Linked DNA regions of Tribolium castaneum. The protein of the gene in region 1 interacts with the protein of each later gene in a pairwise test. Links are inferred from orthologs where the notes say so. Each region holds a gene or a part of one and is shown in the gene's direction. Other genes may lie near its edges. The genes, in order: slo, Src64B, cAMP-dependent protein kinase catalytic subunit 1 and Slip1.

Region 1 (4,262 bases):
TCTACTGAAGCCCAACAATGTTTAAGGCGATCCCTGAGAACTGTCAAAATGATCAAAAATCCATAAGATCATACTTTTACACATATCTCAAAATCGACAACAATTTTCAACCAGAAACCATTGTACTGCCTTCATCTGGCACTTCAAACTAGATTTTTAAAGCGGTAATATTTAAAAAATCTTTTTCTCAGAGAAATTTTTCTAAAGGTTGTTTTTTCCTTGCTATTGCTAGTATCGGGTATCAATTTTAGCATGCAAATGATGTGCGTGAATGGTGGGTGTATGTTTTTCCGATCTGTGTAGATCTTGCGTTTGGCACCCAAGTCAAAACTTTATCAGATCAGCATACCCAAAAATACACGAATTCAATTCTAAATGGAAAATCTGTAGATTTGTGGGAAATTGATTCCTAATCATTTTGCTTTTTATTTGGTACTGCTCCGTTGTCGATTTTCTGGGATATACAGAGTGCTCAAAAACTGGCGCACCAACTCAGTGGTACGTTATTGAGAAGCAAGTGCAGATTATGGGAAAAATGTTGAAAAAATTCCTAAAGTCATATTTTAAAAATCTGGAGCTACAAACTTATTGTGTTTAATTTCTTTGGTTTTCATTATTTTTTATGATTTTATGTTTCATACCAGGTAATCGTTCCGTAACAAAACAATGAATAATTATTTTTAAATTTACTATCAGATTTTGGCAGTTTTTTTAATTTAAAAAAAATAAAATTCATCCAAAAAATCACAATGTGTAGATGTGCCAACACTGGGAATTATTTCCTAGGAAACTGTTTCAAAAATAATTTATTTTTATTGTTGCTCAAATTCTATTGCGATTATGACTGTTAGACAACGTTGCCACATATCATTTATCTAAAATCCGTTATTTATCAATAACGTTAATACAAAGAATGTTTTTACTATTTTTACCTTTATATGTAACCAGTTCTCTACCACACACCATTGAGTTGGTGCGCCAGTTTTTGAGCACGCTATATATAAAAGTAGGAACACATGTTTTTGGATCGTTTTGACAGTTCTTAGGGGCCGCCTTGTATTGTAGTTTATACACCGAAAAGACTTCTCTACTTTCTCTATCATTCCTCGAAAATTGAATGGCAATAATGATCATTCTCTGCGCTAATGTCGGAGTGACATAAGTTGATAACTTGGATTCAACTTGCTAATCCTAATTTAAATTGGATCAAAGGCATAAATGAAATATGTTTTTTTGATTGCATCGGCAGGTCGTCAGGCTCTTTATTTTATCCGAATCACTCTGTATGCCACTGCGTAAAGTGAGCCTGTGTTAAAAAAACTTGAAGAAAAATGTCGTGCGTCCACGCGAAGTCAAGTGGCTGTAGGTCTGTGTTGATCAGTTGTTTGCGGCGCGCCGCCTCTGTGTTGTCGTCTCGGCGCACGCCGCCAGGGCGTCCTTCGTATTGATTCCCGCATGATCCTGTATAGCAGCGGGGCGACGTCGGCGTCGCGTCAGTTGCGCTCGGAGCTGCTCGCCGTCGACAGCACGTCTCCTCTCCGTCGCGGATGCGAGCACCTCGGTGAGTGTACGACGACGGTGGCGCGAGTGGATGCCGCCTAGCGCGGGATGACGAGCGAAGAGGCGGCGACCGAGCCGCCCATCTCCAGCACCGCCACCCCGGACCCATGCCTCGACGAAAGGAAATACTGGTGCTTCCTGCTTTCGAGCATCTTCACCTTCCTGGCCGGCCTCCTCATCGTGCTGGTGTGGCGGCTGTTCGCCTTCCTCTGCTGCCGCAAGGAGGTGCAGTACGGGCCCAATGACCCGAAGCAGAAGGAGCAGAAGGCCGCCAGGCAGGGCAAGCAGGAGTTCGAGGGGACCTTCATGACGGAGGCCAAGGACTGGGCGGGAGAGCTCATTTCGGGACAGACCACCACCGGAAGGATATTGGTAAGAGACGAGCTGTCTGCCGACATGACGCAAGATGGGGGAGTTACGCCCACCGGGGGCAAATCACCAAATTACAACGGCTTTTTTGGGGAAAGGTTAACACGATTTATTGATTCGATCGAAAATCGATAATGGAAAGAAAATTCTGATACTTTGACTAAATGTCGTGAAGAGCAAGAAAATATTTGACAGTCTGACCCAGATGGCGCATTCATTGCTAACATATACCTACATATGGAACTCATTCAGCTAATCCCAGGACATATTTCCAGTTTATATAAATTCAAGCTCCATGCAGCAAACAAAATTATGGTAAATTACGTCTTCCTAACTAATGACGTGCATCATTATGACCTCAATGTATGACACAAATACAGCAAGTCTCTGCCAACATTATAAAAAATTTAGGTGAAAAAGGTTATTTTGATACGAATTGACTACAAAAAGGACAATTATTTACCAGTCTATTCTAAACCTTGTCAAATCAAAAATATCAATAACATGAAATCAAACATTTTTGAATAGGAACATGCAGTGGCGTATTTAGGTCCATTGACGCCCCTGCCTAAGACAACATTTATTGATTAATTTATAGAATAAGAACAAATGTACAAACCCCGTAAATGAACAATTTTTATTAACACAGAGAGATTTTTGTCGTACTTTGTAATACGGTGCGTTCAAAAAGCCTTTAGATCAACTCTTGCTGTGGAATTTAGATTGATAGATTATCGTTTTATTCTATTGAAGCTGTTAAAGTTCGTAGTAATCGTAAGTAATCAAAATACGTTCAAAATTGCGTCGTAATAAAGCGATCAGTAATAAATTCGATTTTGATCAGTAAAAAATAATAATTTTCGCACAGTAAAAAATTTAAATGACAAGTAAACTACGCTCAGTATTTTAGTAAAATTCGTACAGTTTAAATAATAAACGCCCAGTAGCTAGCTTGCAGGCTGGGGCGAATTCTACACTCTCTAGTTTTGAGATGCTATTATTTACTGCGCATTTATTATTTTTACTTTGCATCTATTATTTTTACTGTGCATTTATTATTTTTACTGCACAGTTATTATTTTTACTGTGCATTTATTATTTTTACTATGAAATTGTTATTTTTACTGTGCATTTACTATATTTACTGTGGACTTATTATTTTTACTGTGCATTTATTATTTTTACTGTGCAATTGTTATTTTTACTATGCATTTGTTATTTTTACTCTGCAAATATTATTTTAACTGTGCAGTTATTATTTTTATTGTGCATTCATTATTTTTACTGTGCATTTATTATTCTTACTATGCAATTGTTATTTTTACTGTGCATTTATTATTTTAACAGTGCATTTATTATTTTTACTGTGCATTTGTTATTTTACTGTGCATTTGTTATTTTTACTGTGCATCTATTATTTTTACTGTGCATTTATTATTTTTTTTGTGCATTTATTGTTTTTACTGTGCATTTGTTATTTTACTGTGCATTTGTTATTTTTACTGTGCATTTATTATTTTTACTGATCAAAAATACTTGTCGTTTGAATAAAATACTGTGCATTTAATTTGTACTTTTCAAAATTTCACAGCAAGAGTTGATCTAAAGACTTTTTGAACGCACTGTACAAATCACCCTTTAAAATTTTAAGTATCACTTCTTTTGTGAAACTTTAAATGAACTGTTAAATGCATAAACTGCTAGATATTGATGTTTTAATATACATCTTTATATTTATATTTATATTTTATATTTTTATTTATATTTATCTTTATATTTTTTCAATCACTTTATTTGAACGAAATAGCAAATTCAGTTCTCCAAAATTCAAGAGAGTTTTAAAAATTAAATTAAAAATCTGAAAAAATTCTTCGTAATGAAACCAAATAAATCTGTGGTTTTCTAGGATATCTTTTAAAAAAATACCCTGAAATTAATAAAAAATTTTTTTTACGAAAAACCTACACATATTTACGACTTTTTTTGTATAAAACGAGTATTATGTTGTCGTTGACTTTTTTCAAAGACATTTAGGTCACAAAGCTACAACTAAAAACTTCTTAAAACTCATTAATCAAACAATTAAGAACTTAAGAAGTAAAAAATGCGACGATAACTAAAAATTTGATCAATTTATTAAAGCTGCACTGGGCTATTGCTCATTTAGCCCATATGTAAATATGCTTCTGGGTTAATGGTTTGTTTTTAGAATGTTGTCGAATTATTAATTTGCCCATGTAATTGCAGGCACAATACTTTTTTTAATTGGCGTTCAGCTTCCAAAATTAGTTGCAGCAGTTTTATCGATTATATAGATGACCCAGAACTTGCAT
Region 2 (3,566 bases), on another chromosome or scaffold:
CACCGATAACACTTTCGACGACGTCTATAATTTACTGTCAATGTCAGTTTGACAAATTCGTGACACTTGACGGTGTTGTCGAAGTGCACATGTAAATTAATGTTAAAGGATACCACCCTTAGATAGCCCTTAGCTGTTTAAATTTGCATTGTTTTTGATAATTTTTTATAGCTTTGTGTTGGTAATGAAAAAATGAAATTGATGACGCACACGCAAATCGAGCTGACCGCCACTATATTTCTTTCCTTTTTTTGTTACTTACTTATGTCAGAGGTTTATGACGAAAAGGTTATAATTTTTGTCAAATGCATAAAATGACATAATTTTACGTCAAATTTAACCAGGGACGTAGGAAACGTAGAAATTTTGGGATTACTATTTAAAAAAAGAAAATAATTGAATACCTCTTAATATTAATGTTCACATTTCTGAAATTTTTCAATATTTATTTTAATATTAAATACATAACTTAAAACATACTTCAATGCTAAAAATGCTTTTCTTTCAGTCACAATTTTTAGTTAGACGTCCCAAAAATTGGTCATCAAGAACCCTTCATATTTCCTGTCGTCTTTTTAAATTTTCTAAAAAATGATATTGAAGGTGTTCTCGTATGAAAAACGTAACAAGATCGTGAATTCCCAATAACTTTATAATTTGAAACAAAATCTAAAGTTCACGTAGATGCTAAAGGCGGCCAAGCAGTGACAGGTTCAACTTTCCTAAAAATTAGAACCAATTTTGGGTTCAAGTACCTACGTATTTTGTAAATGCATAGACAAATTCCCAAAATCTCATAGATTTTGTACATAATATTATTTAGTCAATCCACTTTTCCAAATGCTTGTTAATAATAAACGTAAAACTTGGCAGGAAAGGTTCAATTTCTCTCTCTTTCATCGATGATTACCATTTCTTAAAGTTAAGGAAAAAATGTTTATGATGAAGAGTTTAGACGTAAAATTCTTATATTTACAAAGAAATCTCTTTTAAAATTTGGAGTTTATATAAAAAAAACAGTGAATTGACGACGACTGCCAATCTAAACCATTTCTAAACGCAGTTAGTCGACGAAAAATGGAAACGTTTTTTGACAAATTTATTTGACTTTTCGCCAAATTTCAAGTGTAACACCACTCATTTCTATCCCAATTTGTTTTTTACACATTCCAACCGACGTATATGAACCAAAATTTCGAAAATTGACATTCAGTGTCCCAACTCTCCCAATATTTCCTATATAATATATAATATAATATTCGGAAGTAAAGTTACCGTTGAGGGCGCCACTGAGCTAGGTCGAAAACAGTAACCATAAATGGCGGGAAAATGTTTATTCGGATATTTTGAGCGTTGTACGAATTTTGAGGCTTCACAATTATTACATTGCCTATGCGGAATGATTATTGTATCTTTGGTGGAAGAAACGAATGTTGACAAATTGGAGATGTCGAGGAAAACACGAATAATGAATGACTTTTTGGTTTACTTTCTTTATTGGAAAATTATTACAAAGACATTGAGAAGCCTACCTTTTGGCATAATTTACGTTTAAGTGTATTAGCAGTTGTTAATCTTAATTGTAGTTTTGTTGATTTATCGAAGTATTTCATGATTTTATCAGTGGAAAAATTCTAACCTAAAATTCACTAATTTATTGGTTTCTTGAGCCCAACTTTGTGTTCGCTGTGATCCATTACTATAGTCTTTAATTAGACAATTGTTTGATAACACTTTGTAATGAAAATTTAAATCTTTTTCACTTTTTATTCATTTTCAAATTCCAACAATAAACACTTTACACCACGAAAAACCGCAGAACCAAAGTCAAAGCTAGTATTTACCACCACGTACTTTTAAAGTGATTCTCTCCAATGTAAGCAATTAACACTATACACGCAAAATTGTTAAACAATTTACTAGACGTCAATTAAATGTGGAATTACGAAAATTTCGTTACTGTTTTCGACATAGTTCAAAAGTCATCACCAGAGGGCGTCTAGTTAATTTTATTTTCGAATAATATAATATAAAAAAACCAACCCATAATTATTTATAATTTCTTTGTAAATTTATTGCCACAAAAACTGTCCATCCAAGAGCACTCACTGCACTCGTGCTGCAAACAAGTTATTCAAGTTGGAAATTATATTTTCCCTCGTATTTTCCAAACATGTTGGGTAAATCATTATTGTCTAACGGTGTCAGATCGGGTGACCTTGGCGGCCCCAAAATGTTACTAGTCACGAAAACTCCTACATAAAATAATGAAAAAAAAATTCCAGGTGGTCCACCTCGACTGACAATCAACAATCCCTACACACCGGACCCTCAGCGGAGTCATGTCGATATAATAAGGAGTCGGCCGACCCCCACACGGCCCCCTCTTTCCGTAAAGGGCCGCGTGGTCGTGGCCCTTTACAACTACGAGGCCCGCGACAGCAGCGATGTCTCGTTTAAGAAAGGCGATCGCATGGAAGTCATCGATGACTCCGAAGGCGATTGGCTAAATGTGATACATCTCATAACCAAAGTCCAGGGCTACATCCCTGGAAATTTTGTAGCGGCCGAATTGAGCGTCGAAAGCGAAGAGTTAGTATCGGTTTTTCCTCTTATCACAACGGGAAATTGTCACATCCTTTGTCTTTTAGCTGGTTTTTTGAAAACGTATCGCGAAAGGAAGCCGAGAAGCTTCTCCTCGCCGAGGAAAATCCAAGAGGAACTTTCCTAGTCCGTCCTTCCGAGCATAATCCCAACGGGTATTCGCTCTCAGTCAAAGACTGGGAGGAGATCAGGGAATACCACGTCAAACACTACAAAATCAAGCCGCTTGATAACGGCGGATTCTACATTTCCACCAACAAAACATTCCTCACTTTAGTCGAATTAGTCAATGCTTACACCAGTAAGTTGAAACTAGAGTAGGGAACGAAACGAGGTACAAAATCGCACCCCAAAAAATATAATACGGAGAGTAGTATTTTTACTCCCGGTACCAGATCGTTTTAAATTAATTCAAATTCAATTCAATTCACTAATTACTTGGAAAAAATACAGAAATGTTGTGCTTTGCATTCTTAATAGACTGAGAAAAAGTGACGACCAAAATTTTCACGAGAAATGTGGGAAAAAAGTTGTTTTAAATTTAAAATTTGCGCTTCGTCTCAGATTTTTCAAAACGCTGCGAATACGGTTTAACTGTCAACTGGTTTTGTTTTTCCGTAGTTAAGTCAAATTGTCAAATCGCTGTAGGTGTCTAGACCTGATAAATTCAACCCCCTCCAGGTATTCTCTAGGCGCGATGTATTCTTCCAGATACAGTGTAAGTATTTGGGTTGCGTCAGTATTTAACTTCTGAGTCAAATTTGACCTAGCAATACCAGTTACTTTGGCGTATTTTTTGATTTCGTTTTGTGAAAATGTCCCGCTTTTTAAGTTAGCTAAGTTGGCAGACGTTTTCAATTATTTATGTAATGATAGTGGTAATAAAACTGATCACTGATCAGTAAATAATGATGTTCAAGATAAGTGACAATGATCTGAGATCATTGAAGACAGACCGGCAA
Region 3 (4,058 bases), on another chromosome or scaffold:
AGCCGATTTTGGAAATTAGTATAGTAAATTTCTAACATTCAGATTGCTTTTGGTTTTTGAATATGAAAGCAAATTCTTTAGTAGTGTCTCACAAAACGACAATCGCAGGTTGCAGCAAAAAATTATTTTCTTGCAATACATTTAATTTTTTCTATTTTTTGAAAATGTACAATAATTATTTAGTTACAATTTGCATTTCTAACCCAAATTAACAAAGTTCAACGACAAAAAGAATAAAACTCATTTTCTAAATTAATTTCAATTTGCTTCAATGAGGTCCTTTTTTTCTACAAACTAATTTTAACAGATAGGAGACAAAGTTTTATTCTAGAAAACTTAGAAAAATATGTTACAATATACAATTACAACGCTAATAGTTAATAAATAAAAAATTATGTAACAGAATTGTGACAAAAAAATGTGTGTAACTGCAAAAAATACAGATATGTTGTATATAACTTATTGGAGATTTGTACTTATTATTTTTATGGCTTTTGTAATTAAAAATTATGTATAATGTAAGAAAGACTTACTTTTTTTTTAAATTGTATGACAGCAATATAGCATATTTATGGTGCATATTTTAGGTTTTTTTTAATGCATATTTTCCGAACCCTAGTTATTAAGAATTAGATCTCTTATTGCAACTATTCATTATTTTAGCTATTAATTTTTTCAAATTTTGAAAAATACATCGCAATTAATCTTGTAGAAATCAAAAAAATATTTCAAAAAATACAGTATTGATTAAATTATAGTAAAACATCCTGAAACTAAAATGAGACGTTTGCGTTACGGTTTAATTAATGTACTCTCAGTTTTATTAAGGACAAACTTTCCAAACAGCAATCTTTTTTTAATATTCTTTGATATTTTGAACTGTGGACGCAACCAATTATACACATTTCTAATATTTAAAAAATTAAAAAAAATTAATTAAGAGTTTTGAATATTGAGTACCTATGTGATTAGTAATGAATGTTGATGAATTTTGCACATATTACGTTTAGAATTCGTCGTAATAGTATTAATTTATGAATAAAATTAATAATGTATTGTTACGAATTATTTTTCAAGTAGGCACTGTCACAGTCGTGTCACATTTGACAGTTCATTGACACTGACAAGTGTTACCTAACCTGTTTTACGATGATTAAAATAAAAATGTTTAAACTTGATTTAAATCTCGCGCATTGCTTGTATTTCGCTTGTTGTCCGCTTTCCCCAAGCATTACCATCCGTTCGGTGGCGTCCTCTCTTATCTCCCCATTAAACCGTGTAATTGACTTGCGAGCGAGTGTCTTCGCTTCAATCCCCAAATGAAGTGAAAATCTGGGCACTTGGTAGCCATTTTATCGTTAGCTCGTTGGTTTTTCGGCGTGTATTTTGAATTTGTGTTGCCCGTTTTAATCAGTGTCTGTGCCTCAATCGTGCGAGATAAACTCAATAATGCGTGTGTACGGATCGTTGTGTTGACACAAACCAAACGCGACATCCGCTCCGAGCTCATCCTTGGTGCTTCAGGCGGTGTTAGAAATCAATCGAAGCCCTGGAAGGTGTCCAAGTCCAAACCATGGGCAACAATGCCGCAACGGCGAACAAAAAGGTCGACTCCGCCGAAAGCGTGAAGGAGTTCCTCGACCAGGCCAAGGAGGACTTCGAGGAGAAGTGGAAGAAGAATCCGACAAACACCGCCTGTTTGGACGACTTCGAGCGCATTAAAACCCTAGGTACGGGTTCATTCGGACGTGTAATGATCGTCCAACACAAACCCACGAAAGAGTACTATGCGATGAAAATCCTCGATAAGCAAAAGGTGGTCAAGTTGAAGCAGGTGGAGCACACCCTCAACGAGAAGCGCATCCTGCAGGCGATCAGTTTCCCGTTCCTAGTCAGTCTGCGGTTTCACTTCAAAGACAATTCGAACTTGTACATGGTGTTGGAGTATGTGCCTGGAGGAGAGATGTTTTCGCATTTGAGGAAAGTCGGACGCTTCTCTGAGCCACATTCGAGGTTTTATGCTGCCCAAATTGTGCTCGCTTTCGAATACTTGCACTATCTAGATCTGATCTACAGGGATCTGAAACCGGAGAATCTTCTCATCGACTCGCAGGGGTAAATAAACAAATGATAGTTATTTATTTTGAGTGGAAATCGGACGCTTTATTTGACGAGTGAAAAAATTCTAACACAAGTCTACATGTGGGGAAGGTCAAGCTCTTTAGGCCCTTTGGTGTTCTGAAATTGTTTCTTATGCCATGAGATCGAAAATTTACTGAATTAAAGCAAGCCAAGGGAAGTGCATTTTTAGCCACACTTCTTTTCAAAACATCGTGTTGCAAAAGACAGTAGATAAGATTAAGAAGATGTCCAGAAATACTGTTTTTATGTTAGCAAATAACCGAAATTCTGCCAATTGAAGATTTCTGTCAGTCTCTTTTTTTTCACTTGTTATTAAAATAGCATTCTACGATGTAGGCTTTTAAACACCATTTTGGTATAATTTAGATGAAGCAAGGAATCAGTTTTTGAAAAATCATAGTCTCTCATTTTTTGACATTTGGCTAAAATTCCGCAGCATGACCTGCTCTAATTCAGTTTATTTTCGATCTCATTGAATTTATGATTAGAGTAGGCTTTGAAAACGCTGATTATCATAATTAATCAAGCTGAAAGTCAAATAATAAAATTTCGAATAGTAATATTCAATTGGAATACATTTTTTCTTTCATGTTGCACTAATTTATTAATTACAAAGATAAAAACCGCCTAATCTAACTATAAATTGAAATGATCGCATGTACAATCATATCGTCGTTTTTGTTTATAATCAACTATCTAAGAACCGTCAGGTTGGCATTATCATAAATAGAGTAATTTTTTTGAATTAAGGTTGGTGTAATTTTTTACCTGGCACATTCAATTTCCAAATTTTTCAAATTGTCTCCAATTTAAAACGCGTACAACAACACATTTAGTTATTTTAGACCACTTTTAGACTAACGAATTAACGATTAACACTAACATCTAATTTTCAAAAATGCCAAATCTGGTGTTCAAAATGTCAAATACAGAATACAGCCAGTTTCAAAAGTGGGTGGACATGAACTTTTAGGATGAAATAGTCTGGTCTTTATCAGAATTTTGACACTGACAAGTGATTATATAAAAAAAAACTATATTTCAGAAAACTACTTTGGGCCGGTTTATAGAAAGCTTTAATTTAATTCGTTTTTAAAAGTTAACAACGCGAATAGACCAATCAAATTTGTTCAATTTGGTCACGTGATGCATTTAATTGCAGATTAACTTAATGACGCTTCTATAAAATATAAAGTTAAGTTGAATTTAATATAAAGTTAAGAAGGTACTGGCAATACCAAAATTCTAAGTAAATAAATAAAATAGTTATGTGTTAGTTAATAAATGTATGGTGTGGACCTGACGGGTTCAGAGCCTCTAACAATATTGGATTTGGTATTTTCTTCATTCTTCACATTCAGGCTGTTCCAACGAGCCGAAAATAGTCCATAACTTGTATTATTGACTTTTTCCTTAGATATATACAGAGTGTCTCAGCTAAGACTTTCGAGCTTAATATATCAGTTATTTGTCAACAGATTTTTATGAAATTTAGAATGCACATATTTTAGGAGGTGTTTTTTCCATTAGGGGCAAAAAATGACATAAGTTAAGAAATGTAATTTTAAAACACATTTCTTTTATTTAAAATTAAGCTGAATTAGTATTGGATTATTAAACCCCGAAAAATAGATGGCTCCACAAAAAATTAACCAAATCGCTCGGTTGATCCAAGAAAAAAAAATTGATTTTGTTGTTAAAAACTAAATCCAAATTTTCAAAATATTTGAATAATCATGCGGCATTTTGTGTCCCACTGTATCAAAAGTGTGTGTGCTGTCAAAAAAGTAAAATTGTTTTAATTTGGTGAAATTACTTTAAAAACAAACAACACTGGCAGAAATTTCTGTGTTGTTGTAAAAGGAAACAATATTCGCCTATGGAAAGTGTCTTTGGACTTTTTGTGAAATGTTATT
Region 4 (4,295 bases), on another chromosome or scaffold:
TTCTCGGAGAAGACATTGTGACCTTCTGTGACCCACTTAATTCGGACAAATTTAAACTGTAGTTTTTGTCAGTGTTACCTCCCAAGAACGGTACGTACATTATTTTTCACACTTCACATCAATAAATCAACACCAAACAACTCCAGTCTATTCAAGTGAGCAGATGTCTTCGACTAGTTAAACAAATATAATCAACTCGAAATTTTATATACACCATCCGAAATAAATCAAAAAAATTCTTCTAGCGTAACTATAGATTCGTTTCCCGAAATGTTTATCTAACTCGCTCTCGTCCCGATATTCTTTACGGAAGGAGTAAAAAGTATAGTGCAAAAACACTCTCCTAGAAAGTTTTTGGTCTGAATTCAGCCGGGCTTAGTCTATTTATTATAATTCAAAGCATGTTGTGACTGTCGGTCGATATGACAAAGAAAGAATGCAACAAAAATTCATTCATCATTCTTTAATCATGCAAAGTATAGAACAGACCATAATACGCGAAAACCAACGATTTGAGCGAAAATATGTTCTTCTAATTCCGCCATTTCCATGGTGGTTATATTGAGAATCGCTTAGCAAGGCAACTAATTAAACATCACAGTGGGAACAATTGAATTTTAAGTCGATTTAGACGTATAATTACTTTTACTGTCATAACCATCCTGAGCGTCCATCGTTTCGATTAAGCCCTGACAATTAACAGCTATCAAGGGTATTTACCATTCGGTTTCGATAAGCAATACTTAGGTATTAAGTGGTCATCAGGATGCTGTGACGTTACCATTTCAGAAACTTTGTACTGAATCCAGATTTTTTGTCAAAGTGGTGCAGATTGCAGTAATTATCACTGTGTATTACACCACAAAGACAACTTGCAACCGCTACCAAATCTTTAAAGTGGAAAATGGCATTACAAAGTGGCGTGGAAATATAATCAACTGAAGTGAGATATACGGTATCTAATTAATCGCAAGCCATGTAGAACAGCATGTTATGCAATTTCCGGAAAAAATGTGGATCTGAAGTGCACTTGGTGGACACCCACATCGTCCAGAATCCATCAGATTTGACGTTTTTATGTGTTCAAACACTTAGCCCAATAAATTAATTTCGGGATCTGGGTCCGAAGTGCAAGTTGTCCAGGTGCCCGCCGGCAATAGTCCGGTTGTTGTTGGTTTTATTGGCGTGTTGTTGATTTCGGAGTTCCCTCGGAAGTGAAGGGTCTGAGTTATTGTTGTGCTTGTGCCGGTGGTCCCGGTGTCGAACGTTTGAAATTGGGTGTGTTGATATGTTGATTGGTGGTGAGGCATTGTGTGCGTTAATTGCTTCTGAGGTCCGGGCGCGGGTCCGAAAGAGTCCTAATTGAATTAAACGTGTCGCGGCATCCGGAATGCGACCGGGCAGCCCCTGAACCTTGCCATAGCTATCAACAATATAAGATAATGAACGCGTATTCCTGATGAAGAGCAGGGGGGCGCTGGGGTGCAGACTGCAGCACAAGTACAGCACGGAGTCGCAACCACGGCGTTACTCAGTTGGAATTCGTGCCTCAGCTTTGGTGGCTGCAGCCGTTCAGTGGCCTCAGTGCTCGCAATGCGCTCGCTCTCCACGGACGACTCTGCGGACTCCAACACACGCGTTGTCTCGGTGCCTCTCGTTCCGATGCGATCGACTTGTGCTTGCAATTGAACGCAACATACATGGATTTTATCATACTCAAGGTAAGTGCCCCAGAGCACCGCAACTTTAGGACACTCCGGCTATGATCAAAAGTGAAACTTCGCCGTCCGCACACATTTGCATTGTTTCTGCGACCACGAGAACTTCAGCGAGCTCAAGTCCAAGGCAGCTTTTTTCAAAACCACCACCTGTGTGGAGCGAGTCCTGCCGACTTTCGGTGATTAAAGGCGGATTAAAGGACCCTCGCTTGACTTAATCACTTTCAATCAGGAATTATTAAACTGACTTGAATTTTTTCGGTAACTAATCACATGTGTTGGCAAAATTGTACAGTTAGCTGTATTTTAATTGACATTTATTTGCTTAATTGCGTTCTGCAGTGTCATTAAGCACATGTGAAATCGGCAATTAGTGCTTTCGAAAATTGTAATTGAAGCAATTAGAAGTACGTAAGTTGAGTGGTACCCTTGACTTGTTATTAGAATAACCAAAAATCCAAATCGTGCTTTACTTTGAACGAAGCTTATCGGGTTTGTCGTGGTTTATCTATTTCATTTATTTTGCGAATTGTCGGAAACATTAATTTTGGGGGTTGGCCCGAGATTAAAACTTATGATTGATTCATTCTCGCAATTAGTCAGAGATTAATTACGCGCCATTGTGGCAGAGTTTTAAAAACTTGCCGCTTTTAATAAGGTAAAGTTCGGCGGGGGCGGTTTAGTTTCGTGGTAGTTTTACAGAAGTGTCAGTCGATATCGTTAAAAATACAGAAGTTGGGATCTAGTATTGAGACAAGGATTTGTGGGAGGATTTCAAACAAATAAACTTTAGTCGGCCTCGATTCGATTCCCTTTCGAGTGGGAAATTCAGGTGGATCCCCGGAGTGAAATGTCACGGAATGCTTTTGATTACTTGAATGCGGATTAAAGATGACAAGTTTATGCATTTCTAACTTCCTGACTTGATTCGCTTACTTGCGGTTGCCTTAGTCGTCTTTTTTGTTTATCCCTATTGTTTCGTTTGGAAATTTCAATATTTGTTTCATTTAATTTTCCACAGAACTGGTAAATTTTTAATGGACACACTAAGGCCTGGTCGATTTTTAAAGGCCATTTGCCAGTTAATATTCCAAGCTGCTCCCAACTGAAAGGCCGTAAATTAATATACTACTCAGTCCACCCACAACTATATGCGTTTAATGGGGTTTTAATCATTGAAAATGTTTCATTTCGGGATGAATTTACCGATTGATGGTTACCGATGTGTTATCGATTACCTTTTGAAAAAAATTTTAAAAAGGAAACAACGATCGTAAAATTACTGTTGCAGCACATAAATGTCAAAATTCCGTGTAATAAGGTGTTGACTGAGACATAAAAATAAAAATGGTAATCATAGGTGTTGATGTTATTACCTTTTTTAGCCATTGCTACTGAGATTTTTATAGCTCAATTAGTGCCACTTCATTTCCATACTGTCTTTTTCTCTTGATGAATTTTGTTAAAAATTAGTCTCGTCTTTTAAACAACTCAAGAATAATTTAAAAGCGCTACAGCAGTAACTTACTTAACCTTACCCGTCTGTTTTGACCCGTTTTATTTATTCATTACCTGCTATTGTTCAAAAATGGAACTGGTCAGGTAGAAAATATTTCACCTTTTCAACCGCTAATATCTTTACAACTATCGGTAGTTTACTCAGAAGTATCGGATGAAATAAACGCTGTAAAATTGCAGTTTACCCTGTTGATATTGTTTTACACAATAGGTAATGTTATGTTTGATCAAGACGGTAGTTTCGATTGTTTATTGTTTCAAGATTGGGTGAACGTGCTCTCTACAAGCAACTAATAAGAGTGCTGTACCCGCTTCAATTTGCGTATTCTTTGCATTTTTGCGCGTTTTCGCAATCTGCACTATTAAATTTTCATATTGTCTCTCTAATATTTATATCGTTGCACAAATAAAAATTGCAAGCATTATCTGTGTTCATTTCCAAGCCGTTTTAGAGATTTTATTAAAGATCTTGTCATTTATCTCATGTTTGTCTTTTACTGTTTACGTAGTTGTGAGTACATAAACACACTTGCTTTGTTTATCACTATATTGATATTGGTGTCATAACATTTGTTCTAAGCATCGACTGTGATATTTCCTGATTTTCAAAATTTGGGTATTTCTCCAAAAAATACTAATTTTTGATTCGAACTTGATACGGGATGTAGGTAGTTGAGAGAAACCTGATACGTAAAATTTGTCAGCTCTCCAAACAAAGAAGTGGAGAAATAAAAGAATGACCATTAAGAGGGAGCTTTTGCATATCACATTAATGGCATTAGTCGTGTAATGTATAGCCTTGATTTAGTTGATTTTTTGCTTTGATTAGGTTGAGTGTAACTTTTTACTTGGTCCCTTTCTGTATAATATTTGATTAAAGTAGGGTTTGAATCCCTTTGCTAAAGTTTAACCACTTTGGCTGCCAATTAGACGTAATAAAAATTTTCCCCAAATACAAATGTCAAGATTGACTTGAAAATCCCATGCCCATGCAGTGCATGTGTGGTTAATTGGTTTTGGTGGCCGAATTAATTATCTAATTTCTCCATTAGATACTTG

What was found.
Region 2: the proteins of slo (region 1) and Src64B interact in binary tests that used the Drosophila melanogaster proteins (3 or more experiments, as listed by UniProt). The link is inferred for Tribolium castaneum from reciprocal best matches to the Drosophila melanogaster genes slo and Src64B.
Region 3: the proteins of slo (region 1) and cAMP-dependent protein kinase catalytic subunit 1 interact in binary tests that used the Drosophila melanogaster proteins (3 or more experiments, as listed by UniProt). The link is inferred for Tribolium castaneum from reciprocal best matches to the Drosophila melanogaster genes slo and Pka-C1.
Region 4: the proteins of slo (region 1) and Slip1 interact in binary tests that used the Drosophila melanogaster proteins (3 or more experiments, as listed by UniProt). The link is inferred for Tribolium castaneum from reciprocal best matches to the Drosophila melanogaster genes slo and Slip1.

What each region holds. Positions count from the first base shown.
Region 1 is NC_087400.1:8,504,261-8,508,522, forward strand, and holds the start of slo (calcium-activated potassium channel slowpoke), read left to right. Parts: upstream 1-1,411; 5' UTR 1,412-1,608; coding exon 1,609-1,932; intron 1,933-4,262. UniProt on the Drosophila melanogaster protein: Potassium channel activated by both membrane depolarization or increase in cytosolic Ca(2+) that mediates export of K(+). Its activation dampens the excitatory events that elevate the cytosolic Ca(2+) concentration and/or depolarize the cell membrane.
Region 2 is NC_087394.1:24,284,885-24,288,450, reverse strand, and holds part of Src64B (tyrosine-protein kinase Src64B), read left to right. Parts: intron 1-2,285; coding exon 2,286-2,592; intron 2,593-2,651; coding exon 2,652-2,905; intron 2,906-3,566. UniProt on the Drosophila melanogaster protein: Tyrosine-protein kinase that may play a role in the development of neural tissue and smooth muscle. May contribute to tyrosine phosphorylation of Dscam1, a cell surface receptor involved in targeting of growing axons during eye morphogenesis.
Region 3 is NC_087397.1:21,579,297-21,583,354, forward strand, and holds the start of cAMP-dependent protein kinase catalytic subunit 1, read left to right. Parts: upstream 1-1,244; 5' UTR 1,245-1,573; coding exon 1,574-2,115; intron 2,116-4,058. UniProt on the Drosophila melanogaster protein: Serine/threonine-protein kinase involved in memory formation. Promotes long-term memory by phosphorylating meng and by regulating CrebB protein stability and activity.
Region 4 is NC_087403.1:3,146,470-3,150,764, forward strand, and holds the start of Slip1 (E3 ubiquitin-protein ligase PDZRN3-B), read left to right. Parts: upstream 1-1,472; 5' UTR 1,473-1,700; coding exon 1,701-1,721; intron 1,722-4,295. UniProt on the Drosophila melanogaster protein: May selectively reduce calcium-activated potassium channel (Slo) currents by reducing the number of Slo channels in the plasma membrane.